Canis lupus familiaris: one gene and its partner. The protein of the gene in region 1 interacts with the protein of each later gene in a pairwise test. Links are inferred from orthologs where the notes say so. Each region holds a gene or a part of one and is shown in the gene's direction. Other genes may lie near its edges. The genes, in order: CDCA7L and CTNNBL1.

Region 1 (12,076 bases):
GAAAAGGATGAGGTTTTTGCCATTTGCCGCAACATGGAAGGACCTAGAGGGTGTTAAGCTAAGTGAAGTAAGTCTGAGAAAGACAAATACCATATGATCTCACTCACGTGGAATCTAAAAAATAAAATAGATAAAAAGCCGAATCAGACCTATAAATACAGAGAATAGACTGATGGTTGCTAGCAGGGAGGAGTTGGAGAGATGGGTGAGGTGTGGGGAGACGGGTGAAGTGTGTGAAGGTGAGTGGGAGGTCTAGGCTTCCAGTTACACAGGAAGTATGTCACTGTGGGGGGCGGGGGGTGTTGGAAGGCACAGCATAGGGAATGTAGTTGATGATACTGTAACAGAGTTGTGTGGTGACAGATGGTAGCTACACTGGTGAGCACACTATCAAGAAGGTGAATCACTGTGTTGTACACCTTAAACTAATGTAACACTGTGTGTCACCTGTGCTCAAAAAAAAAAAAAAACAAAAAACAAAAAACCTTGTAAATGGGCAGGCCGGGTGGCTCAGCGGTTTAGCGCCACCTTCAGCCCAGGGTGTGATCCTGGAGACCCGGGATCGAGTTCTGCATCGGGCTTTCTGCATGGAGCCTGCTTCTCCCTCTGTGTCTCTGCCTCTCTCTCTGTGTCTCTCATGAATAAATAAATAAAATCTTAAAAAAACAAAAACTTAAAACCAAAGCAGCTGCTTTTGCTGCTCTGACCCCTGCTACTTCTGTGCATTCAAGCCCCCCCCTTCCTGCTCCCCACTGCCAGGTGTGATGCAGCGTGCCTCGGATGGCCTGTGACCGTGTGCTTTTCATTCAGCTCGCCCTGAGTTCAGGCACCTCCCCAGGGACAGGGTCGGTGTTGTTACTGTCCCTGTTTCACAGGGGATGACACAGGCTCAGGGCAGCAGCGAAGGGACTTGTCTCAGCCCCCACATCTGAGAAGCGTGTGGCCGGGATGTTTGAAATCTGGGAGCATCGCTTTTCAGCCTCTTCTTTTCTTCAACTCCCCTGTAGCGTGGTGGACCAGAAGCCTCACGGACACCCTCCTCATGCACTGGTTTTGCCCGTGTATATGCTGGTCTGTGCTCTTTGTTCTGCTTATCTGTCTTCTCTTCGTTTCTTCTAGAGTCCACCCCGGCTTGGATCCAGTTCAAATGCTGCTGCTCCTTGGAAGTTTTCCTGAATTTTCTTTTCTTTCCTTTTCTTTCCTTCCCTTTCCTTTTTTTTTTTTTTTTTTTTAAAGGTTTTATTTATCTATTCATGAGAAACACAGACTGAGAGAGAGAGGCAGAGACACAGGCAGAAGGAGAAGTAGGCCCCATGCAGGCAGCCCGATGTGGGACTCGATCCCGGGACTCCAGGATCACGCCCCAGGCCGAAGGCAGGCACTAAACCACTGAGCCACCCAGGGATCCCCTCTTTCCTTCTTTCCATATGCCATCTTGCTTGCATCTCCCTTAGAACGAAGATCCTGACTGTGGTTACTGTGGACCTGTCCCACTGCCCCGCTAACCTGTTACCTCCTCAATGGGAGGCGCCTCATACTTGAACAATGCTTTCTAGCATTCTTGGGCTGGACTGCTTACTCGTGTTTTCCTTTCCCCATGTTCCATATGCTCAGCTCCCACTGGTAAATGAGTACCCATGGGGTGGAATTGAGGTGGGATGCTTGTCTCACTCTTTTTAGCTCACCATCATTTTCCTGTCTGTTCCTTCACGTCACATGAGCTTCCAAATAAAAAGTGTAACCACTCTTTTAACCACTTTTCTGTTCAAAAGACAGAAAGTCCTTTGAAAATGTCTTACATTCTTGATCATGGTAGATAGATATAGGTGATCAAGGTCCAGAACATACTGCCTGGTATTGATTTGAAAGGATAGCAAATTCTGGAGAGCAAAGAGCTATGTGAGTGTTGTAACCAAGATTGCAATGAGACTGTGGAATAGATACTTTGCTTTATAAAGACTCACAGTAAGCATGGTTTTTTGTGCTTATCTTTTTTTTTTTCATTTTTTTCAAGGAGGTTCCATATGTAGTGTGGAGCCCGCAGTGGGGCTTGAACTCCTAACCCTGAGATCAAGACCTGAGCTAACATGAGGAGTCCGACGCTTAACTGATTGAGCCGCCCAGGCTCAGTTCTTATATCTTGTGGAATAAGGAGAGGAAAAGCAGGGGCCTTGGTTTAGGACTGTGGCTAAGTTGTTTTTGTGTTCTATCTGGTCACCAAAGATATTGATTTCTCTCAGCCTGACCATTTATTTCCCTGTGAAGCTTTTCAAAGGGAAAAGAGAGCCAGAGAGGACTGGACGGTTAGAACTTGCTGCTCTAAGAGGTGACTTGTTCTCTCTGGGCCCTAGGCAGGGACAATGGGTATATGAGGAAATGTACACGTAGACCCCCATTGCTCTAAACCCACTTGTAGAGACCGGCTCTGGGCTCTGTGAGCCAGATGTTTCCTGCTGGTGGAGCTAGCAGCTTCATGGTGGGTTTCTGCGGCAGCCAGCTGTGCACCAGTCTTCCTTACAAAAATAAACCCCAGGCCTGTTGCTTCCCCACCCCGACCCCACACATTCACAGTCCGTGTTAAGCAGCCAAGAGGAGCTGCACAAACTTGTATGGAGTATGCCACAACGTTGACTTTGGTCTTCCTTAAACACAATTTGAATTTCACTTTAAGGAAACTTCTCTTTTCTGTTTGTATTTTTTTTTTCCAAGCAGCTGCACCACAGCTATCAACAAAGGGACAAAGTAATTTAGCTCCAAGCACACTCACTCCAATTACCCATAATAATTCATAGGAGACATTTAAGCTTAAGAAAATGCTGGATATAGGCATTTCTTCCTCTATCCCCCTGTAAATTTTCCCACTCATCTATTATATCTGTTTTTCTCCAGAGATGATCTGAGCTTGAAGAAGTATATAATTAAAGTCAGGGAGAGGCAGTGGGGGAGATAAAGATTCCCCAACCAAATGTGGTGTGATGGGGGGTCATTGCTATATCGGGTGTGGGAGGAAGAGGCGTCAGAGGCAACTGGGGACACGGACTCCAGCCCTGGTTGCCAGCTTGGAGGAGGCTGGTCTGTGCGTCTCCTTCCCACACCGCAGGTCTGTCTGTCCCCTCCTTTCTTCCCGGAGTGCCATTTACGGAGCCCCGGTTTCTTTCCTTCTCTGGGTTCAAAAGACAAAGTCCTTTGAAAATGTCTTTCTTTTTTAAGGGTCCTGGCACGTCTTTCCTCCTGCTCACTGGCTACCTGGTGGGGGCTGCTGGCCTCGCACCTCCCACAGGAGAGGCAGGAGAGGCTGTCCCGGGGGCCGGGGAGGGCCGGGGCGGGCTCCGGCCCCTTCCCGCAGAGAGCCAGGCAGGTGCGCTCCCGACGCGGGGGAGTCGGCCTTGGACAGGTGCGCGGAGGGCAGGCCAGCGCGCGGCAGGGAGCCTCGCTCGGGATCGGGATCGGGATCGGTGCTGTGCCCGACCTTCCCCGGGGGCCCTGGCAGGAGAAATGGAGCCCACTCTCCCCCCCCCCCCCCCCCCCCACAAGGCAGCAAAGTAGCTGGCTCAGCCTGGGCCGTTCTGACATTTGGAAGTGGTGCAGTTGATCGTCTCAGATTGTTCAGTTCTGTTTCCCTAATCTGTAGAGGAACGTGTGTGTGCGCGCGTGTGTGCACTGGGGTAAAATACACATAACCTACAATTGACCGTTTCAGCCTCTGGTAAGTGCGAGCGAGCGCCAGGCTCTTGCGGGCAAGCTGCCAGGTGGCGCTGAGCTCGCGCGCGGGGTCCCCGTCACCCAGGGTGCTCCCCCACCTCGAACAGACGCTGCCCGTTCAACAGCCCTTCCCTGCCCCCTCGCCCCCCGGAAGCCTCTGTCTTCTTCCTTTATGATGTTTGCGTGTTTTTAATGCAGCAAGATGTGCGTTTCCGTTCCAAATACTTCACGGAAGAGCTGCGAAGGATTTTTATAGAGGACACGGACTCAGAGATGGAAGAGTTTGAAGGATTTACACAGAATGAGCTGAATGGAAATAGTAACCCAGAAGTGATGGTAATAATCCTCAACGTGGGAGAGTGCGGGTTCTCCTGTTTTCAGTCCTGCTCCTGAATTGTAGTTTCACTCGGAGGGAGTCACGTCCCAAACCAATGACTTTTTCTTACGTGTGTGTGTCTTAGAAGCCGGTTACCGAGATTGAGAAATGCTAGTCTAGGCTAATCCCTGGTCCCCCAGTCCATCGTACTCCTAGAGGAAGTCCACTTGTCTTTCCCTGGTACCTTCGAGTTCCCGGGGTGGGCGCATGTCTCAGGTGTCCCTTAATTGTCCTCGTGAAAGAATTTATTTCAGGCTTTCTTAGACATCTTTTTTTTTTTTTTTCTTAAACATCTTTTATCTGAAAAGAGGACCGTCTGTCTAGGAGTAGCAAGTTCTTACAAGTCCTTTCTTGTGTGCAAAGTCATGTTCTTAAGTGTGGAGTTAATTTGGCCCAAACTGAGCTGTGGTACAAAGAGTTTTCCCTGTGTGTTCTTGATTTGGATGCAGAAATGCTTTTTAGGGCAGCCCAGGTGGCTCAGCGGTTTAGCGCCACCTTCGGCCCAGGGTGTGATCCTGGAGTTCCGGGATCGAGTCCCACATTGGGCTCCCTGCATGGAGCCTGCTTCTCCCTCTGCCTGTGTCTCTGCCTCTCTCTGTGTGTGTCTTTCATGAATAAATAAATAAAATCTTTAAAAAAAGAAAGAAAGAAAGAAAGAGAAAAGGAAGAAAGGAAAGAAAGGAAGGAAGGAAGGAAAGAAAAGAAAAAAAAAGAAAAAAGAAAAGAAAAGAAAAGCTCTTTAAATGATAAAGATGGCCTGGCCATGTCAGATTCCTGAGGGAAATGTGCTCTCAGCACTTGCCTTTCGGGAGACTGGGGATTTCTTCCTTCACTGCATAGATTTAGGCTTCTGTGCTGCCAACTAGTATTTGAATCTCCGCGTAACTTTAAAGAACAGCCTTTGGGTTGTTTTCCCCAGGCATAGAAGTATTTTATACTAACTGAAAAATAGCACACATTTATCCCCCCAAATCAGTCCACCATCTCCTTCTTGGATATCAGGATAAAGGATAGAGGTTAAACCTCTTCACGTTCAGAAGCTCCTAAGGAGGAACCCCGTCTGGTGTGGAACTTGTATGGAAATCTAAATAAGCTGTAACTAGTAGGTTTGCTTTGTTCCTCACCTTTTCCTAGGGTGGCGGGGTGGGGAGCTTAGGCCTGAAAGCCCTAATGGTAGGCTGCCTTGTTTGATGTTGATCCCCCCGGGAATAGCAACACAGAGCTCTGCCAACCTACAGGCCCCAGCCCTCCTTTGGCTTTCTTTACTGAAGCTGCTTGTAAGGCCGTTGATGTGTTCTTGCCAGCCGGGCTCCACAGTTTTCCTTGCCAGCAAAGCACTAAAATCCTTCCAAATCCTTAATGGGTATCTTCTACTCCTAGTGACTTATTTATCTTCTGATTGTTAGCTAAGTGATCTCAGGGTATTCAAAGGATCCGTGTTTCTAGCACAGTGAAGACTACTCCAGAATTTTTTTTTTTAATGTTCTGTATATTTAGGGTATGAATTGGGACATGCTGACTACTGTCACTCATATCTTTGGGCAGGTCCACCTGCAGATTTTATTTATTTATTTATTTTAAAGATTTTATTCATTTATTCATGAGAGACAGAGAGAGATAGAGAAGCAGAGCCACAGGCAGAGGGAGAAGCAGGCTCCATGCACCGGGAGCCCGGCGTGGGACTCGATTCCGGGTCTCCAGGATCACGCCCGGGGCCGAAGGCGGGCGCTCAACCACTGGGCCACCCAGGGATCCCCTGCAGATTTTATTTTAAAATTCAGTGGACAAATAAGCATTATTGCCTGCCTCCCCAGCCTCCTGCTCACCCTAGTGAAGGCAGAGGAGACTGCCTTTTCTGATACTAGGATGTCACTTGGTGTCTGGTGGTCTAGCCACACATGAGGCTACCACAGCAGTGGTGCGGCCCTTGAGTTCTTTGCCTCCCGTCTTTATATTTGCTCTCACCTACTGTAGTCCTTCAGAGAGTCCTTAGGAAAGAGATACGGGTTAGGGGATGATGAAGATAAATAAAACCAATTTGAGAGAGAATTCCTCTGAAGTTCTCCAACACTTTCTGAAATTGGATTCCTCCAGTCCCATCGTTTTGCATTCCAAAGCTACCAGTGTAGAAAGTTCAGGATACTAAAAAACAAACAAAAGGATAAATCAATAACGCTATAGTCTTCTCCACTTAGCTTGTTGTGGATTTATATATACACCAAGGTTTGGTAGTTACATGAAGGGTTTTGTTTTTCTCCCTTTTCTTTTCCTTTCCTTTTTCCTTTCCTTTCCTTTCTTTTCTTTCTTACGTAGGCTCCAGCCCAGCGTGGAGCCCAACAGAAGGTTTGAACTTAGGGCTCTGAGATCAGGATCTGAGCTGAGATCAAGAGTCAGATGCTCAACCGACTGAGCCACCCAGGTGCCTCAATATATTTTTAAAAATAAATTTTCTTGGGGCACCTGGGTGACTCAGTGGTTGAGCCTCTGCCTATGGCTCAGGTTGTGATCCCGGGGTCCTGGGATCAAGTCTTGCATTGGGCTTCCCGCAGGGAGCCTACTTCTCCCTCTGCCTGTGTATCTGCCTCTCTCTCTGTCTCTCTCATGAATGAATAAATAAAATTTTATAAAAAAGAATTTTTTTCTTTTAAAGTAGGTTCCATGCCCAATGTGGGGCTTGAACTCACAACCCTGAGATTAAGAGTTGCACACTCCACCAACCGAGCCAGCCGGGCGCCCCTCCTCTGCCTTACTTTTAACTTGAGTCAAGCTAGAATTCGGGGGGCGAATTCACGGAGGGGGCAGCTGAGTCCTTTACCTCAGTCCTGGGCCCATCGTGGGCTATTCCTTGTTCTCCTCAGAGCAGCCCTGTTGTCCAGAATCCCTGACAGAGGGTCTCAGACTAAACTTCCCAGCATGTAGTAAAGGAAAGATGCGCAGGAGGTGGCCTTGATCTCAATGTTCAAGCCCAGCTCTGCCATTGCTAAGCGTCCCCTCACATCTGAGATGTCACCCCCTCATCACCTGGGTAATGTCCCCACCCTGCCATTGCCTTATGTTCTGTGTCTCACGTGTAAGGCTGGGTTCCGTTTTAGTGCCAGCAACCTGTACCAAGCAGAATTAGAAAATTCAGGGCAAGAATTTCCTGGGCTGCCTGAACAGGTGCTTCACAACAGCCCAAGAGCTGTCGGCCTTGATTTCACCCCGCGGCTCTGCGGGTTGCAGAAAAGAGAAGGGATATCCCTGGGAGTGAGGACCCAGCATGTCCTGGGAGGAGTTTCCCCCACTGACGCCGATGGCCAGTCCTCTGCTTGCTCTCCTGTCACTTCACTGAGGTGAAGTCGGCTCTCCTGTCCCTCCTGTCCCTCCTGCCCATGAATCCTCTTCCTGTTCTTCGGGGCAGTATGGTCAGTATTTTTTTCCCCCTCAGCACTCCATTTGTATTTGAAGATAACTCTAAGGCCATGCATTCCCTTTTCTTTGGCTCTTCCCCATAATACGTGGCCGGCCCACGGGGGAGCCCTGCTTTGTCGGCGCCCCGCGTCCAGCCCGCGCTCCTAGGAGCCGCCGCCGGTGGTCGTGGCCGGGGCACCGGGCCGCGGGAGGCAGCGGCTCTTGGACCGGATTCACCCGCAGACACCCGAGCGCCTAACTGAAGAGTTCGGTGGGAACTCAGAATAGGAAAGAGGAGCTTTCTTCTCATTTTTTCTCTACAATAATGTCAGAGTGCTTTAAAAAAAAAAGATTTATTATTTTTGGGGGAGCCTGATGGCGGGATTCGAGCCCAGGACCCTGGGATCACGACCTGAGCCAAAGGCAGGTGCTCAACCACCGAGCCACCCAGGTGCCCCCAGAGTGCTTTTAAGTAAGGTGTTTTTGAAGGTCTGTTAGGAAACATTGTTTCTAGTCTTTCTCCTTTTCTCTCCTTTTGTTAGCTCGTGGAGTCAGATTTGAGTGATGCTGGTAAGGAGTCTTTGGTGAGTGAAGAAGAGGAAGAGGATGAAGGAGAGAAGGCTACACCCAGAAGGAGGAGGCCGAGGAGAAGCAGCATTGGTCTTCGAGTCGCCTTTCAGTTCCCCACCAAGAAACTGACGAAAAAGTCAGATGACAGTTCCTCGGAGCCACTGTTTTCTAGCACACGCTTACAGGACAATAAAAAAGCAATTCTTGGAAGAAAGAGAAGCTGCAGAAAGGGGAAGGAAAGGGAAGATTCGGTCTCAGAGTCTGAGGACGACTCCAGGGATGAGGCTCAGGAGGGCTCGGATGCTCTGCTGAAAAGGACCATGAACATCAAGGAGAACAAAGCCATGGTAAGGCCGTGGGCGGGCAGTCCGGGCGCTGGGTGCGGGCACTGAGCAGTGGCTCCTGAGGCTCACAGAACCGCCCCCAGAGCGGCTGCCCTCGCATCTTTCGGGAAATGTGCTCTGGGCATCGGGTGTCCTTTTCTGTGTTCTGGACCCCAACCAGTTATTAGCTGGTCGGCTCTGGTTCGGGATCAGAAAGCGACTCCCCAGGACCACTTTTAGCTCCGCTTCCTGGTGCCGTGAACTCATGCTGCTTACCGTTTGCTATGAAGAGAAGTTCTAAATAGTGGTGGTGTCGGAGAGCAGAGCCGGACCGCTGGCCGGTTCCCAGCAGGGAGGAGCCAAGTGTACACAGGGAGTCGAGAAGCCACTTAAGAACCGCAGTGTGTGCTGGGGCTTCAGGACGTCATACGGGAGAATGAGAGAGGCCTAGGTACTAAACTGAGTGGTTTTCAGCCACAGTAACCCATCTTTGCTAGGATGAATGGCAGTAAAGGGGAAACCTTTGTCATGTGTATTTGGTTTTTCTGTATTTGTTCAGTAACATATTTGCTTCCTAATTTTGCATATGCAGAATTAATTCTACCACTCAGTCACTGTTAGCATTTTGGTAGATTTTTAATACTTTCTTTTTAAAAAGCACAATATGATAGTGTGTGTGTATTCTTCTATGTCTAATAAGAACATAAAAAGCTTCACTTTTGAGTGAAAATTCACCCTAAGGCATATTTATGGTTATTAGCAAAGGGAAATTTTTAGCACTGTGTCGGCATCTTTAAAATAACTATGTTCATGAGTTTTGAGTGACACTTACACGTCTGTATAACTCTAAAATTAAAAAGAATCCTCATTGGGGCAGCCCGGGTCGCTCAGCAGTTTAGCGCCGCCTTCAGCCCAGGGTGTGGTCCCGGAGACCCGGGATCAAGTCCCACGTCGGGCCCCCTGGATGAAGCCTGCTTCTCCCTCTGCCTCTCTCTCTCTCTCTCTCTCTCTCTCTTTCTCTCATGAATAAATAAAATCTTAAAAAAAAATCTTCATTGGCGTATTAATGCCTGTTAGTTGGTATTCTTAGGTGTTTATTTGGGAACATTTCCATAAATTATTTTTGTTAATGAGAAATGAATCAACATAAACAGTTTCTTTGGAGCTCTAAATAACTATCAGAACAATCTAGTTGAACCTTTTGTTTTGAACATGATGAAACTTGATCTCGGTGTGCACCATGATCTGTTTTGGGGTCACACTGCTAATTAATGGCCCCGTCAGAATTCCAGCCTCATGCAGCCAGCCTCATCATTCCAAGGACCCATTCATCTTATGATACGATCTTTATATGTAAGGAACGTGCATAGATTTTATTCCCATGAATGATGATAGTAGCCTCTCACCCCTGGAGATAACAATCTTTACAGATGAGGTTAAAAATAAAACAGCTGTTGCGATCTTACATGAACTACTTTAGTCAAGTTTCTCATGTTGGCAAAACTGAAGACGTGTTACGAGGTGTTAGATGAATGAGGCATATTGATGTCGGTCCTTCTTCTGTTCTGAACTGCAGCTCGCCCAGTTACTGGCAGAACTGAACTCAATGCCAGATTTCTTCCCGGTACGAACCCCGAACTCAGCTTCTGTAAGTAGAATGCCTTTATAATTCTTTATCCCGAGGCTGCTGGACGTAATCTGTCGCCAGATGGCTTTTGTTCCAGGAAGCACCCAGTTGCGTATGTCTGTGCTCTGACTTTCAGAAGAAGAGAACAGCGAGGCGGGCCTTCTCAGAGGGACAGATCACGCGACGCACAAACCCGACCCGCAGCGCACGGCCACCCGAGAAGTTTGCCCTGGAGAACTTCACCGTCTCAGCAGCCAAATTTGCAGAAGAGTTTTACAGCTTCAGGAGGAGGAAGACAATTAGTGGGGTATTTTCTGAGCACAGTGAACATATTATGCTTTGTCTAAGGCCACACTGAGGTCCTGACCTGGTATGTCTGGAGCAGCTGAGCAGTGATGCTGCTGATGGTGGTGCTGGTGGTGCTCGTGTTCCCAGGGCCACACTCCAGGAAGAACCCTCCCTTCCCCCCATCTAAGCTATAGGCTGGAGAGACTCCTTTACCTCAGTTTGAGCAGAGGAGCTGCTCAGAGTTAGGACCCTCAGCTTAATCTTTGAGGGAGGCAATAAGGGCCTGTCGGTGGCGTCCGAGGGCCTCGTGATTTGCCTTGTGGGAAAGGGCAGTGATTGCTCCTTGCCTTTCAGTTTTAGGAATGGGGCGTTTTAAGTGCCTTCAGAGTCTGGAGGGAGAAACTAGGTTCTTCCCATTTGCAGGTTTGGCCATTCATTGTGGCTCCTTTTCCTGTCCTCACAGAGTTTAGAGTTGGTGCCCGTTAATGGGGCAGGTAAAAACCTAGCTGCTCCTGTATTGTTGTATCACCTTGCCATGAAGGAAGTTGGCTCCGTGTCTGTGGCAGGAGGCTCCGTAAATGATTGATTCTCAAGAAATAGAAGAGAGCCGTGGTTAACATTAATGGTACTAGAGCTCTGAGACTGTGGGTTTTCTTTTTTTTTTGTAAATTTATTTTTTATTGGTGTTCAGTTTGCCAACATATAGAATAACACCCGGTGCTCATCCCATCAAGTGCCCCCCTCAGTGCCTGTCACCCAGTCACCCCCCTCCCCGCCCACCTCCCCTTCCCCCACCCCTAGTTCGTTTCCCAGAGTTAGGAGTCTCTCATGTTCTGTCTCCCTTTCTGATATTTCCCACTCACTTTTTCTCCTTTCCCCTTTATTCCCTGTCACTATTTTTTTTATATTCTCCAAATGAATGAGACCATGTAATGTTTGTCCTTCTCCAATTGACTTATTTCACTCAGCATAATACCCTCCCGTTCCATCCACGTCAAAGCAAATGGTGGGTATTTGTCGTTTCTAATGGCTGAGGAATATTCCATTGTATACATAAACCACATCTTTATCCATTCATCTTTCGATGGACACCGAGGCTCCTTCCACAGTTTGGCTATTGTGGACATTGCTGCTATAAACATCGGGGTGCAGGTGTCCCGGCGTTTCATTGCATCTGTATCTTTGGGGTAAATCCCCAGCAGTGCAATTGCTGGGTCGTAGGGCAGGTCTATTTTTAACTCTGAGGAACCTCCACACAGTTTTCCAGAGTGGCTGCACCAGTTCACATTCCCACCAACAGTGCAAGAGGGTTCCCCTTTCTCCGCATCCTCTCCAACATTTGTGGTTCCCTGCCCTGTTAATTTTCCCCATTCTCACTGGTGTGAGGTGGGATCTCATTTTGGTTTTGATTTGTATTTCCCTGATGGCAAGTGATCATGTGCGTGTTGGCCATGTCTATGTCTTTCTCTGTGAGATTTCTCTTCATGTCTTTTGCCCATTTCATGATTGGATTGTTTGTTTCTTTGGTGTTGAGTTTAATAAGTTCTTTATAGATCTTGGAAACTAGCCCTTTATCTGATACGTCATTTGCAAATATCTTCCCCCATTCTGTAGGTTGTCTTTTAGTTTTGTTGACTGTATCCTTTGCTGTGCAAAAGCTTCTTATCTTGATGAAGTCCCAATAGTTCATTTTTGCTTTTGTTTCTTTTGCCTTCGTGGATGTATCTTGCGAGAAGTTACTGTGGCCGAGTTCAAAAAGGGTGTTGCCTGTGTTCTCCTCTAGGACTTTGATGGAATCTT
Region 2 (12,076 bases), on another chromosome or scaffold:
GAAAGTGTTTATTCTGAAAAAGAAAAGGCAATGATATAGAAGGAAAGAAATAGGATTACTGTCTTGAAATAATCTCAAGGATTTTTTTAAAATATGAGAGTGAGGGACGCCTGGGTGGCTCAGTGGTTGAGCGCCTGTGTTTGGCTCAGGGTGTGATCCCGGGGTCTGGGGTCAAGTCTGGCATCAGGCTCCCCACAGGGAGCCTGCTTTTCCCTCTGCCTATGTCTCTGCCTCTCCTTCTGTGTCTCTCATGAATAATTAAATAACATCTTTAAAAAAAAAATACGACAGGAGACTAATCGTTGTTTATATTGCTTTAAAGGGAAAGATTAGGGACCAAGGAAGAAAGTTGTAAGTTGGAAGGTTTCTCCTCAATTTAACAAACTCTTTGAGTGATCCCAAGATGGGAAGGGCATGATTTAGGGAGGGGGTAAGTTTCTGGTTACTGGAAGTGTTAGGAAAGCCCCAGCCTATACCCAGTGGAGATGTTTTAAAGAGGATTCAAACCTCAGATAGGTGATTGGTTTAGATCAAGGCTTCCTAGTCTAGATGTCTCTAGTGCTTCAGAATTAGTACAGGAGGTTGTGAATCCAGACAGATGTACACAGGCATTCTCTGTAGAATGAATCTCAGTCTCAAAATCTCTCTCAAAACTAATCCATCTCTTTCTCTCTCTCTCTCTCTCATAAATGTAGGAGTTATAAACAAATTCAAGGAAAGTATTACCAAAAAAAAAAAAAAAAAAGTATTACCAAAGAGATAGTATTTGTTGTCATTGTGTTCTTAATCATTGGACATTAAGAGGTACAGCAAGGGATGGAGTCTGTCATATTTTGACATTAAAAAAAATCCTCCTTTAAAACCTGTTAATGGTCAACACCCTTTCCAAACTTAGGTTCTTTGATTTTTTATTTTATTTATTTATTTATTTTTTTTTAAATTTTTATTTATTTATGATAGTCACAGAGATAGAGAGAGAGAGAGAGGCAGAGACATAGGCAGAGGGAGAAGCAGGCTCCATGCACTGGGAGCCCGATGTGGAATTCGATCCCGGGTCTCCAGGATCGCGCCCTGGGCCAAAGGCAGGCGCCAAACCGCTGCGCCACCCAGGGATCCCAGGTTCTTTGATTTTTTAAATCAGGTGTGTCAAAAATAGGTGGGAAGCTACATGTATTGTCTTCTATGAGCCAGTCTCTTCTGGGCACTTCAGAAACATTGGCCTTTTTGTGCTTACATGTATGTATATACATATATAGGTAAGTGTATGAAGTGGTTATTGTTCCTAGCGTATAGATTGAGAAAATTCAAACTTAGAGGGGGTAAGTTACTTTACAGGACTGCTAACTAACTAGAGGCACTAGGATTTGAATTTAGGAAAATTTGACTCCAAAACTCATTCTCCATATAGGATATCACCAATTGCAAATAGGTTAGCAAGGACTAGTGAGTATTGCAAAGTAGGAAAAGAAAAGCACTATATTGGGAATTAGAAGCCTTGAATTACTGTCCATCACAAGCAAATTGCTTAGAGCCACTAAGCTTAGATTTCCCTGTCTATAAAGAGAGGTATAAATTAGATTATCGCTTTGAGCTCAAATTTCTAAGTCTTCCCCATTGTTTGATATTTAGGAAATAATACTTTATGCTCCTTTGGAAGGCCCTTTTTTGAAGTTCTGAAGCTTCTTGGTACTAGATGGAACATTCCTGGTTTATTATTAGGTTATAGAAGATTTCCTTTGACTTTTTCCATCCTTTAATAGAATTGAACATATTTTTTCTTCCAATAACATAAAAGTACATTTTATAAAAATCACTACCTTCCTAAGCCGGTAACTTGGAATACTGAACTTATTTAGACACCCCCCCCCATACACATCTCCACTGTTATATCCTGGTATAGATGTGCTTTCACATTAATAATTGTGCTGTGTGTTTTCATAATTTATCATAATGATGCCATTATTGCTTATTATAGAAGGCCCCTTTCTCCCACCCCTACCCCCAAGTCTAATTGAGGTCGAGACAAGACCATAAATGTGATAATATAGATTGCATGCTCAGAGGAAATGGAGTTGGTTTCATAGTGGAGTTTTAATTTAGGATTCGTTCTGGTGATGTAGCGTCTTCCTATGGTACATTACTTTGAGCCCAATATAACTGCATTTTCCCACAGCTCCTCATTATAGCTACAGCTTCTCACTGCTTTTTAATTAAAAAAAAAAAATAGAGAGAGGGAGAGAGGGGAAAAATGAAACCTACAGCTTAGGTTGGATATTGTCTGGGTACGCAGGGAGTATCCTAGGCAGATTACTTATTTAATTTTTTAACTCTTTCCAAGCTTTTGTGGTGATGTCTTGATATCTGTTTCCAGGGGGATGTATATATATATATCATCCATCACACATACACACATAATAGGCTTCAAGATTTTTGGAAAGTAAAAGCATCTTATATATAATCTTGAAGCTTACTATAAGCTTTGAACAAGTGGAAATCTTTTATGTAACCTAGAAAGGCTACCAACTGTGTGGTTGGACGGTGGCAAATGCTTAGTGAGCATTTATATTGCTCACTACCTATTGGGAGTAAGGCAGGGAACGTAGAAGATTTTTTAAATCCTTAAAGGCTGATGTTCTGGAACATCAGAAGTTAAGAGTTAATCATTTTTTCTCTAGTCTGTGGGCAGCAGAGACAAAGAAATGACTTTATGAGGAACAGTTTCTTTTGTCATTCCTTCATCTTGAGGGATTCCAAACACCTTTCAGATACCAAAACAAATTAATCTCCAAAAGTGACTGGTAAGAATGGCTTAATCCTCATGGGATTGGTTTTGTAAGATACAAGGAGAGCTCATGTGTGAGCTGTTGACCTCTCTGACAGGCTAAGAGTGTTATATTCCTTTCCTGAATCCAGAGCTCTTTGGCTCTTCTATAGTGGAATTGGTTTGACAGCTCTGAGATTCTTCTCCATTTATGTATTCTTGCTTTGTTTTGTGTAACTGATCACTCTCTCAGTAGCAAATATTGGTAAATATAATGTAGACATTTATTTATTTCCAGGTGAGGATATTGTTAGCTTCATGATTTTTTTTTTGTGGGGACCTTTCACAAACAGTACTTAAGCTTTCTTAGTCCATATTTTATACAATGTTGTTGGAAAGACGGTTCCATTTTGCTTTATCAGGGAACAGGAAGTCCTCAGATGAAAATCCTCTAGACCTGTGGTAGCCAATATGATAGCCGCTAGCAGTATATGGCTGTTGGGACATGAAATGGGGCTGAGTCTGGGTTGAGATACACTCTGAATGTAAAGTAGTCTACCAAACTCTAGAAGCTTGAGTATGAAAAAAAATGTAAAATATCACATTAGTAATTCTAAAATATTGATTACATCTTAAAATGATAATATTTTAAATATATTAGATTAAAACAACATTAAAATTAATTTCACCTGCTTTTTACTTTTTAAAATGTGGCCCCTAAGAAATTTAAAATTACATCTATGATTTCCATTTCATTTTGATTGGGTAACTATGTCCTAGACCATTAAGCCCCTTGATAGGAAAGTAGCATTTGTCTTATTCACATTTATGTCCCCAGTCACCAGCATAGGCCTTATACTTAGTTGGCATTTAGTAAATATTTGTCAAAGAAATGAATCCTAACCTTTATCCTTCAGAGTGGTCAGATTCAGAAATGAGTAGAAACTTCTTTGGGAGTGTTAGTATCTAAAAAAGAGACAACCCTTATTGAAAAGAACAACAATTCTTAAAATCCTGCCTTGGGAGAAAAGAATTGCTGAAACAAAATATCTCGGGGCCTTTAAACAGCTTACCTATCTGTTGGAGGCAGGAGCTGATAATGTTGCTGAAGCAACCATGGCAGAGGACCCTAGTGGCTTTGGCTCTGCTCTGCTGGAGAGTTGTTATGAGAGGAACTCCAGCTGAATGCCCTGTGTAACAGAGAAGGGAGGTGTAGAAAACAGTTTGTGAACCAGAGTTTCCCCTCTTAGGGATGTTGTGCTCAGACTATTCCTAAAGATTAACAAAGGTGTTCTTTTCTCAAGAATCCATCCTGGCCCTATCTGTGCCCGTGTCACCATTTAGACAAGACCCAAATGGAAGCCTGGGACTACCGTGGGCCACCTTATTACCTGAAGACCCTTCAAGCCTTACATTTCTTTAATATATTATTTGTTGAACTAATGGTTTAACAACTATCATTTTAACTTTACTGAGGTCTTACATGACTTATATTTATGGGTATAGGTTCTTGACTGAAAGTCCCTTGAACCTGTCTCAGTGAGGGTCCTGGAATTAAGACCTGGATTAGCAAACTTCCGAGAGTTCGGGTTCACCTTTGAGAATGGACAAGACTGTCTTTGCAAGAGTTTATTAAAGGATCTCAGGCATCCCGCCTCCCTGCTTAGAAAATAAAACTGTTAACCTACTTTTCTTCCCCAGAGGTGTGGTGAAGATTAAGAGAGGTGCTTTAAGTTCTGCAGAAGGAAAGTGCATTTTCAGTGGAAATTATTAGAGGTAAAAGTGAAACTCCTCCCCTAGCTCTAAAAGGTTTGTTTTTTAATAGTAGTTTGGAAGACGTAAGATTGGAAGATGTATTCCAAAGAGACACTGACAATGTTCTTTCAGTTTTGCATTTCTTAAGTGTGGCGGTATTTAGCTTTCTCCTTTTAATTGTGGTCCACTGGCTTTTCTGTCTGCCCTCAGAGATAAACAATCCAGAAATCTCCTTTCCGTGGAGAACTGTGGAACTCATGCTTTGATTTGACTGCTGCAGCAGGCTCAACGCTAATCAGAATCGCAGCAGGGCTCATTTTATGAGCCTGAAAGAATTAGTGCTCCCAGGGGGCTAAAGTTCTTACCTGCTGGGGAGCTACAGATTTCTGGTTTGAAGCCTGCCCTCCTTTAGGATCAAGCTACCTTTCCTTCCTTTCTTGCATGAACACCACAACCTCCTTTTTCTTGTGGTCCATGGTAACTGGCATGTTGATTTCTTTCTTCTTTTTCTCCTGTTTTTCTAAGTGCAGACCAGTGATGATGACAATAGATTCTTCTAATTTTTGTATTTATGCAAGTAGAGTGTTATCATAGGAAATTGTAATCTATCTTATGGAGGCTAGGAGCAGAGTGAAAAATAGCAGGTGGTAGCCTACAAACCAAATTGTCTAATGTGAGTTTTCTAAGCAATGTCATATGCTTAGACTTATTGGCGCACCTGGTATGTGGAACCAGCAGGGTATGTGAATATAGAGAGGAGTGAGGAGTGACTTTGCACCACTGGAATAGTGGAACTCAGTAGCATTATGGGTTATAAGTCAAAAGGTGAGATATGTAATGTGTATAGTAGAAATTTGTCTCTTATTACCATGAAACAACTTAGCAGGCTGGCAGCAAATGTGGCATTCTCTTCTGTTGGTCTTAATAAACCATATCGCACCTAGCACACTATTTGTGTGTGTGGTTATCATAATATAAAAAGAAAAGCTCATTGAGCCTAGCACAAATGTGTTGAGGGAGACAGAATCATGTGGATTACCTTATAGTAATAATCTTTTATATTTGTTTGGTACTGTAATCATTTAGCATTCTTTTTTTATAAATATTTTATTTATTTATTAGAGAGAGAGGGAGAGAGTGCTTGCACATGCACCAGCAGAGGGAGGGCCAGAGGAAGAGAGAGAAGCAGACTCCCATTGAACAGGAAGCCTGATGTGGAGGCTCAATCCCAAGACCCTGGGATCATGCCCTGAGCTGAAGGCAAGACGCCTAACTTACTGAGCCACCCAGGCACCTCTTTTTTATTTAGCGTTCTTTCACTCAAGTTTGCAACCTTTTAGTACAAACTTCCAGTTATGGATAAGTTCTGGTTCTGGGAATCCATCAGATAGCAGAGTGACTATAGTTAACAAGTGTATTGTATACTTGAAAGTTGCTAAGGGAGTAGATCTTAAATGTTCTCATCACAAAAAAAAAAAAAAAAAGTAATTATGAGAGGTGATGGAAGTGTTAACTAACTTATGTGTAATCATTTTGCAATATATACATGAATCAAATACATTGTTATATGTACACAGTGACATATGTACACAGCATTATATGTCAATTATATCTCAGTAAGGCTGGAAAAAGAATGGTAAATATACACACACAGAGAAGCATCCTTTGAAGTTCACAAGGAAAAGGGTTATAATTTCCATTTGCTATTTGCAGATGAGGAAACAAAGGTTTAGAGAGGTTAATGACATGCCCAGAGCTGTACCAGTAGTAATTTGAGCTGTTTGAGCCCTGGTGCAGTGCTGTTTCTCCTTAGCTCTGAAGGCCATTTCGGTAGTGCCCCCATTTTATTCCAATTTAACAGAAGGGCACTGTTAAGAACTCCTCCATGGACTGCAGTGTCAAAGGCAGACTGAGGACCTAACAGTGGGGCAGACAGAGCTCTGGACCAGAAGTCGGGAAGTGTCAATTGTGTTTTCAGTTCTGCTGCTGGTTTTGCATCTTTGGGTAATACTACCTCTGGGCCTTCTTCTACCCTGCTCTTCTGTAAAGTAGGACTTCGGAGTGCAGTAGCCCCTTGGATGTTGCATGTGTAATCTTCTCCATGAGAACTTGTGAGTGACTGTAGTCTTTTCTTAGACATGAATTACAACCGTGTGCAGAGGGATTAGTGTTGGGGATTGTGTCATAACTAGTAAATTGAGCCGAATGTGTCTCAGAGTGGCTGTGTTCCCTGTGATTTCTATATGTACAGTAACTTTTGTGAAGTGGTAAAACTACGCATATTTTTTAAATTCTGTAAAAAAAAAAAAAAAAAGCCAACAACCTTGTAGGTGACATCAGTCCTGTATTTATAAAATTGCTACAGGTCTGAAAAAATGACCGCTTGGAACTTGGCTTCATTTTGTGAGAGAAACCATTTTGTATGGAGTTTTTCATCAGTGAATTCTTGAAAGCTTTTAGAATGGCTGCTATGTATGCCCTTCTAGATCTTTTCCAGCTCTGGAATCCTATGTTTCTTTTTTCTCTTTCTCAGCCCAACAGGGGCACAAAACGTCCCCGGGATGATGAAGAGGAAGAGCTGAAAATGCGTCGGAGACAAGCTGGTCCCAGAGACCGTGGCCGCTATCGGGAAGAGGAAATGACGGTGGTAGAAGAAGCAGATGATGACAAAAAGAGACTGCTTCAGATTATTGACAGAGAGGGCGAGGAGGAAGAGGAAGAGGTAAGGTGGCAGACGAGGCTGGCCGTGACACCATATCTGTAGAGGGTCATTTTATGCCAAATGCTTTCCCTGAGCTTTTCACCTTAATCTGTGAAATAGGGTTAAGAATACTTACTGCACAGTATTAACATGAAGGTGAAATGCAATAATAAAGTCAGGAAGCATTTTCAAAGTGTAAAGATCATTATAGATAGAGTTTTTAAATTATTCTGGATTATGTGTCATAATCGAGGCCTGAGCACTGAACTGTGAGGCTGTTGCTATTGACTGAGCAGGGTCAGAAGGATTCTTAGACTAGACACATTGAAGGCATGTCCATTTTTTAGTATAGTTAGTAATCTTTAAAAGAGGAGTAGAATTTTATCAAACTAGTGGAAGAAGGTTTTTCAGTTGAGATGTCATTAGCAAGGCCACAAAGGTGGAGAAGTTCAAAGGTGGAGCTAAGAGATTAGCTTTTTAGGTGTAATTGAAAAATACAGTTTAGGAAAAGAAGTGCTATGTGCTGTTCCTCAAGGTGCCTTAAGGCATACTCGTTCCTACTGCTGAACCTTTTTACTTCTGTACCCTTCGTGGAATGCTCTTCCCCTAATGCTTTGCAAGACAGCTTTCTTCTGAACTGAGAAATCCAGGTCTCAGTTCAGATGTCTCCTCCTCAGAGACAGAGAAGCCTTTCCTATCTCTGAGGTAGCCCTGTAAATCATTCTCTCTTTCTCTTATCACTTCGATCAGTATATTGTCTTCACAGCACTTACAATGATCTGAGATCCTGGTTTATTTATTTTACTCATTTGCTATTCTCTCCCTGACCTCTTAGGAAAAAGGGACTGGCTCTGTTTTGTTCACAGCTGTATCTCTAACACTCGGTGCAATGCCTGACTCTTGGTAGGCCCTTAATAAATATTTATTGAATGAATAAATGAACGAAGCTAAAAAGAGTAGAGGTAAAATACCAGTGATTAAAAATAAAATGACCTTACCTAAGTGTCTTTTTATATCCTTAAGTATTAACTTGTATGTTATTTCACTCTGGCATTTTGTTCAATATGAATTATGGAAATAGATTCTTAAGAGCCAGCTGTTTTTTGGTTCCCTGAAAGACATGATGCTAAGTTTGGATTTAAAAAATGAAGCTGGAGTGTGAATCTGAGAAGGGAAAAAAATGGATTCATATTCCAAAAAGGTCTTTACTATATTGTGACAATAACTCTCTCCTCATTAGGATCCCCAAATTAGCAGTGCTAATTTGGGGATCTGCCCCTAAAAGATGGTGGTGCTTTGGAAATCTGTGGTGGGAGACAGTCCTGAATTTCCTCTCTAAGGGCAGCAGCCCTGCTAGGCTTAGACAAACAGTGTGTGTAGCATATCCTCCCTCCTTCCTTCCCTGTTCCCTGCCTCCCCCACCCCCCCCAATAGCTTCTGCTCAATCTGTTAGCCCTGCAGCAGCAGTTAATTGGCAGGTATAATTCCCATGTAGGGCAAGGCTGGTACTGGAGGATTAGGATAGTAGCTGTCATGGGTAAGTGGTTTCTAGCCTAGGAGACAGAAATGTAGTGTGGGACCAGGCCTTCTGTTAGGGGACAAGGGAAAAAGAGATCGCTTTGTAAAAATGACACATGGAAGACTACAAGTCTAGGAGTTATTTTCTCACTGCCACCAAGGTCCCGTTTGATGAAAAACAAGTGATGTTTGCCCCCGTAAAGTCACGTGGACTTGTAAAATATTATTGTCCTTTTTGTGCTACATCACCAGCATTCATCTTTCTGAAATCTCCCTCTGGTTTCTGACGTTGAGCTATTGGAGATACTGCTGTGGTCGATGACTAAGACTGATAATTCAGTTTTACTCCAGCATTGGAGGGAAATTAAAGGAGGGAAGGCCAAACCCTGAGAGGCCAAGATTTGGGGCATCCTGTGAGAGCTGTATCAACGCTAATATGTTTTTTTTTCTACAGGGTGGGCAAAATGTTAGGGAAGGACAAGAAGTGGAGATTGGGGTTACTTGAAAATGATTTAACCCTTCCTAAAAATTTCAATTACTTAGTGAAATCCTCGTAGTACATTGGGTACATTGTGCCTGTTGATAGTAGCAACAATAAGGGTTTAGGTTAATATAGCATCCTCTAGTTTGTAAAAACAGTTTAATGTACCTCATCTCTTTAGGTCATCTCCCTGACCTTGAAAGAGACAGGTATATTTTTGCCCTCCCTCTCTTCCTACCTGCCTTCCTTCCTCCATTACATCTTCACTGGGCACTTGCTGTGTGCCAGGCACTGTGATGGGCACTGGAGAGTCAATAGTGAATAAGTGGACATGGGATGTTTACTCTGGTTTGGGGTTGGAGAGATTGTCTGGGCCAGATCCTGCCAGACTTTTCCATATCTGGGTCATGAGAAGGATTTAGAATTTTATTCTGAATGCCAAGTGGATGAATTCAAGAAAGACTCCTAAGGTCAGTTGGACTTGGTGACAGCTTGAGGATTATATTCAGCAAAGTAACATTGCCACATGGCTAGTAAGTAGTGAAGCTCCACTCTGAGTCCTGACTGACCCAGGGCACTGAGTTTAGTTTGTAAAGATTCTCTTTAAGCTGTAGATACTGGGGATGGGGTGGGAGTCCAATAGAGGCCCTCAGTGGCCAGGGGTCATTGATAAAATCTAAGAAATCTGTCATGCCCAAAACGAATTTATAGATAACTCCTACTTAAAACCCAATATATTGACACTGAAATTTAATAAAGTAATAGCTAACACTTTGGAGTACTTAACATGTTAGGGATGGTTCATTGCTTTCCAAAAGGATCTGTTTCTGGTTCTCTTAATAGCAAGGTTTTTTAAAAAAAAAATTTTATTACTTTTAGGTGTGAGTTGTGGTCAGTGGTCACAAAAGCTGTGATGCCAGGAGTTGAGCGTTGGAGAGGCAGAGAGTGTTGTAGCATGTGACTTTAACCTCAAAAAGAAACAGAAGAGAAGACGTTCCTGAAATTTTAGTGTAGATTTTTTTTTTTGGGGGGGAGATGATTCTGTTTTTAAAAATTCATTTTATTTACCTTTGTAGTTATTATTCCAGTGTTTGAAATAAGAAAACTGTATGGTCTCCTAGTTTTTATGCCTCTCCTGAGTGTGGTTACTAAATTCTTGATGCTATATCAGGCCTACAAGTACCTCTCTGATTTCCTTCTCAGCAGCTAATAAGGACCCGAAACAGTGATGTGTAAGAAACTCAAGCAGTGACTGTTGCTAATTAACAATCTTTCTTATGGTATGGGCTGTACAAAAATAAGCCATGCATTGGATTTGGCCTATGGTCAGGAGTTTGCTGATCCTTGGCATGCAGAAAATATTGAGGTCCACTGTCACTGACTCAGGTGTTGACCTTGAACAAGTTCTTTTAAACTTGGATATTATCTCTACAACAAGGAGAAAGATGGGTAAATAGTAAATAATCCTTATCTAATATTGTTGCTTAGTACATGCTATCCAGTATGCTCAAGAAATATTTGTTGAATGAGCTAATCTTTAAAACCTTAAATGGAGCTTCCTGAGTTAGTTGTGAGACAGTGATATAACATAGCATGTGGTCTAGATCCTTAACCTTATTTCTAGTGGGAAGATAAAGTATGTACTGTATATTTAACCCAGAAAGGTAAGTGGCAAATGGCTAAAAGCCATGGAAAAGAAGTAGTGATTAGTGAATAAGAAATCCCTTTGAACTAAAATTGTTGCTGTTTGTTCCCTTTATACCAGGAGGAACCACTAGATGAGAGCTCAGTGAAGAAAATGATCCTTACATTTGAAAAAAGATCATACAAAAACCAAGAGTTGCGGATCAAGTTTCCAGACAATCCAGAAAAGTAAGGCTCTGTCTTGCTAATACCCTCTTTCCTTCTATGCGTTGTTTGTTGTTTTTGTTTTGTTTTTCGTTTGTTTTGCCTGCGTTGGTTTTTGTGCTTTATGTCAGGAGTCCCACAATGACCCACGTGTTAGGGAAATCACTGGAAAGACTCATAGAGCTCAGAGTCATGGTACTCGGGGCCACACAACAGGATCAGGAAGAGAGAAAGGTCAGACAGTCTGGAGAAATTCATGTTTAGGCTCCCTATCTTTTCTCTGACTGGGTTACATGCAGACATGTTCCTTTCTCCCAACAGTGAAATGCATCAACATGTGTGCAGTGTTTCTGTCCAGGGAAGCACATTTGAGACCTAAGAGTCCAGGATATATTTATTGAGGACAAGTTATATAGGCCTTCTCTGTCAGCAATGACTATCAAAATTCTGCACTCCCAGAAGGAAAGCAGATGTTAAGTGCTGCTCCAGTTGGGCAAAACACCTTTACCACTTAGGGGACCTTTCAAAAGCCAAGTACCAGACTAGAACTAGACTCTTCTAAAGGTCAAGTCTGCTATGTTAACTCTTTTCTGCGTTATTCTTCTCAAGGTGCAGAGAAAACTCACCATGCCTGTCATTAATGATAGATTTTCTGTTGAGAAAATGTCAAGGGCTTTTCGGTTTGACAGATATGGGTGTGACTCCCATGTGACCTTGAATAAGTCACTTTTCCTTTCTTAGCCTCAGATGTCTCATTTGTACAAAGAAATAATACCGCCTACACAGGGTTGTTGTGAAGATTCGGTGAGCATGATGGCATTTATTTAGCTCGGTGGCTGGCTGGCACACAATAAGTGCTCATGAAATGATAATCTATGTGCTTGCTGCCTCCACCAGCACCTCTGTGTCCTGTGAGATGCTGTTGTGAAGAATCTGGTATTTTTCAGTTCATCTTGACAGGACTGACATGGGAAGATCACCCGTCATGTGGGTGTGGAATATGTACAGTATG

The links.
Region 2: the proteins of CDCA7L (region 1) and CTNNBL1 interact in binary tests that used the Homo sapiens proteins (3 or more experiments, as listed by UniProt). The link is inferred for Canis lupus familiaris from reciprocal best matches to the Homo sapiens genes CDCA7L and CTNNBL1.

The regions. Positions count from the first base shown.
Region 1 is NC_049235.1:35,866,796-35,878,871, reverse strand, and holds part of CDCA7L (cell division cycle-associated 7-like protein), read left to right. Parts: intron 1-3,900; coding exon 3,901-4,038; intron 4,039-8,010; coding exon 8,011-8,385; intron 8,386-9,937; coding exon 9,938-10,009; intron 10,010-10,124; coding exon 10,125-10,295; intron 10,296-12,076. UniProt on the Homo sapiens protein: Plays a role in transcriptional regulation as a repressor that inhibits monoamine oxidase A (MAOA) activity and gene expression by binding to the promoter.
Region 2 is NC_049245.1:26,843,520-26,855,595, forward strand, and holds part of CTNNBL1 (beta-catenin-like protein 1), read left to right. Parts: intron 1-7,049; coding exon 7,050-7,238; intron 7,239-10,981; coding exon 10,982-11,088; intron 11,089-12,076. UniProt on the Homo sapiens protein: Component of the PRP19-CDC5L complex that forms an integral part of the spliceosome and is required for activating pre-mRNA splicing.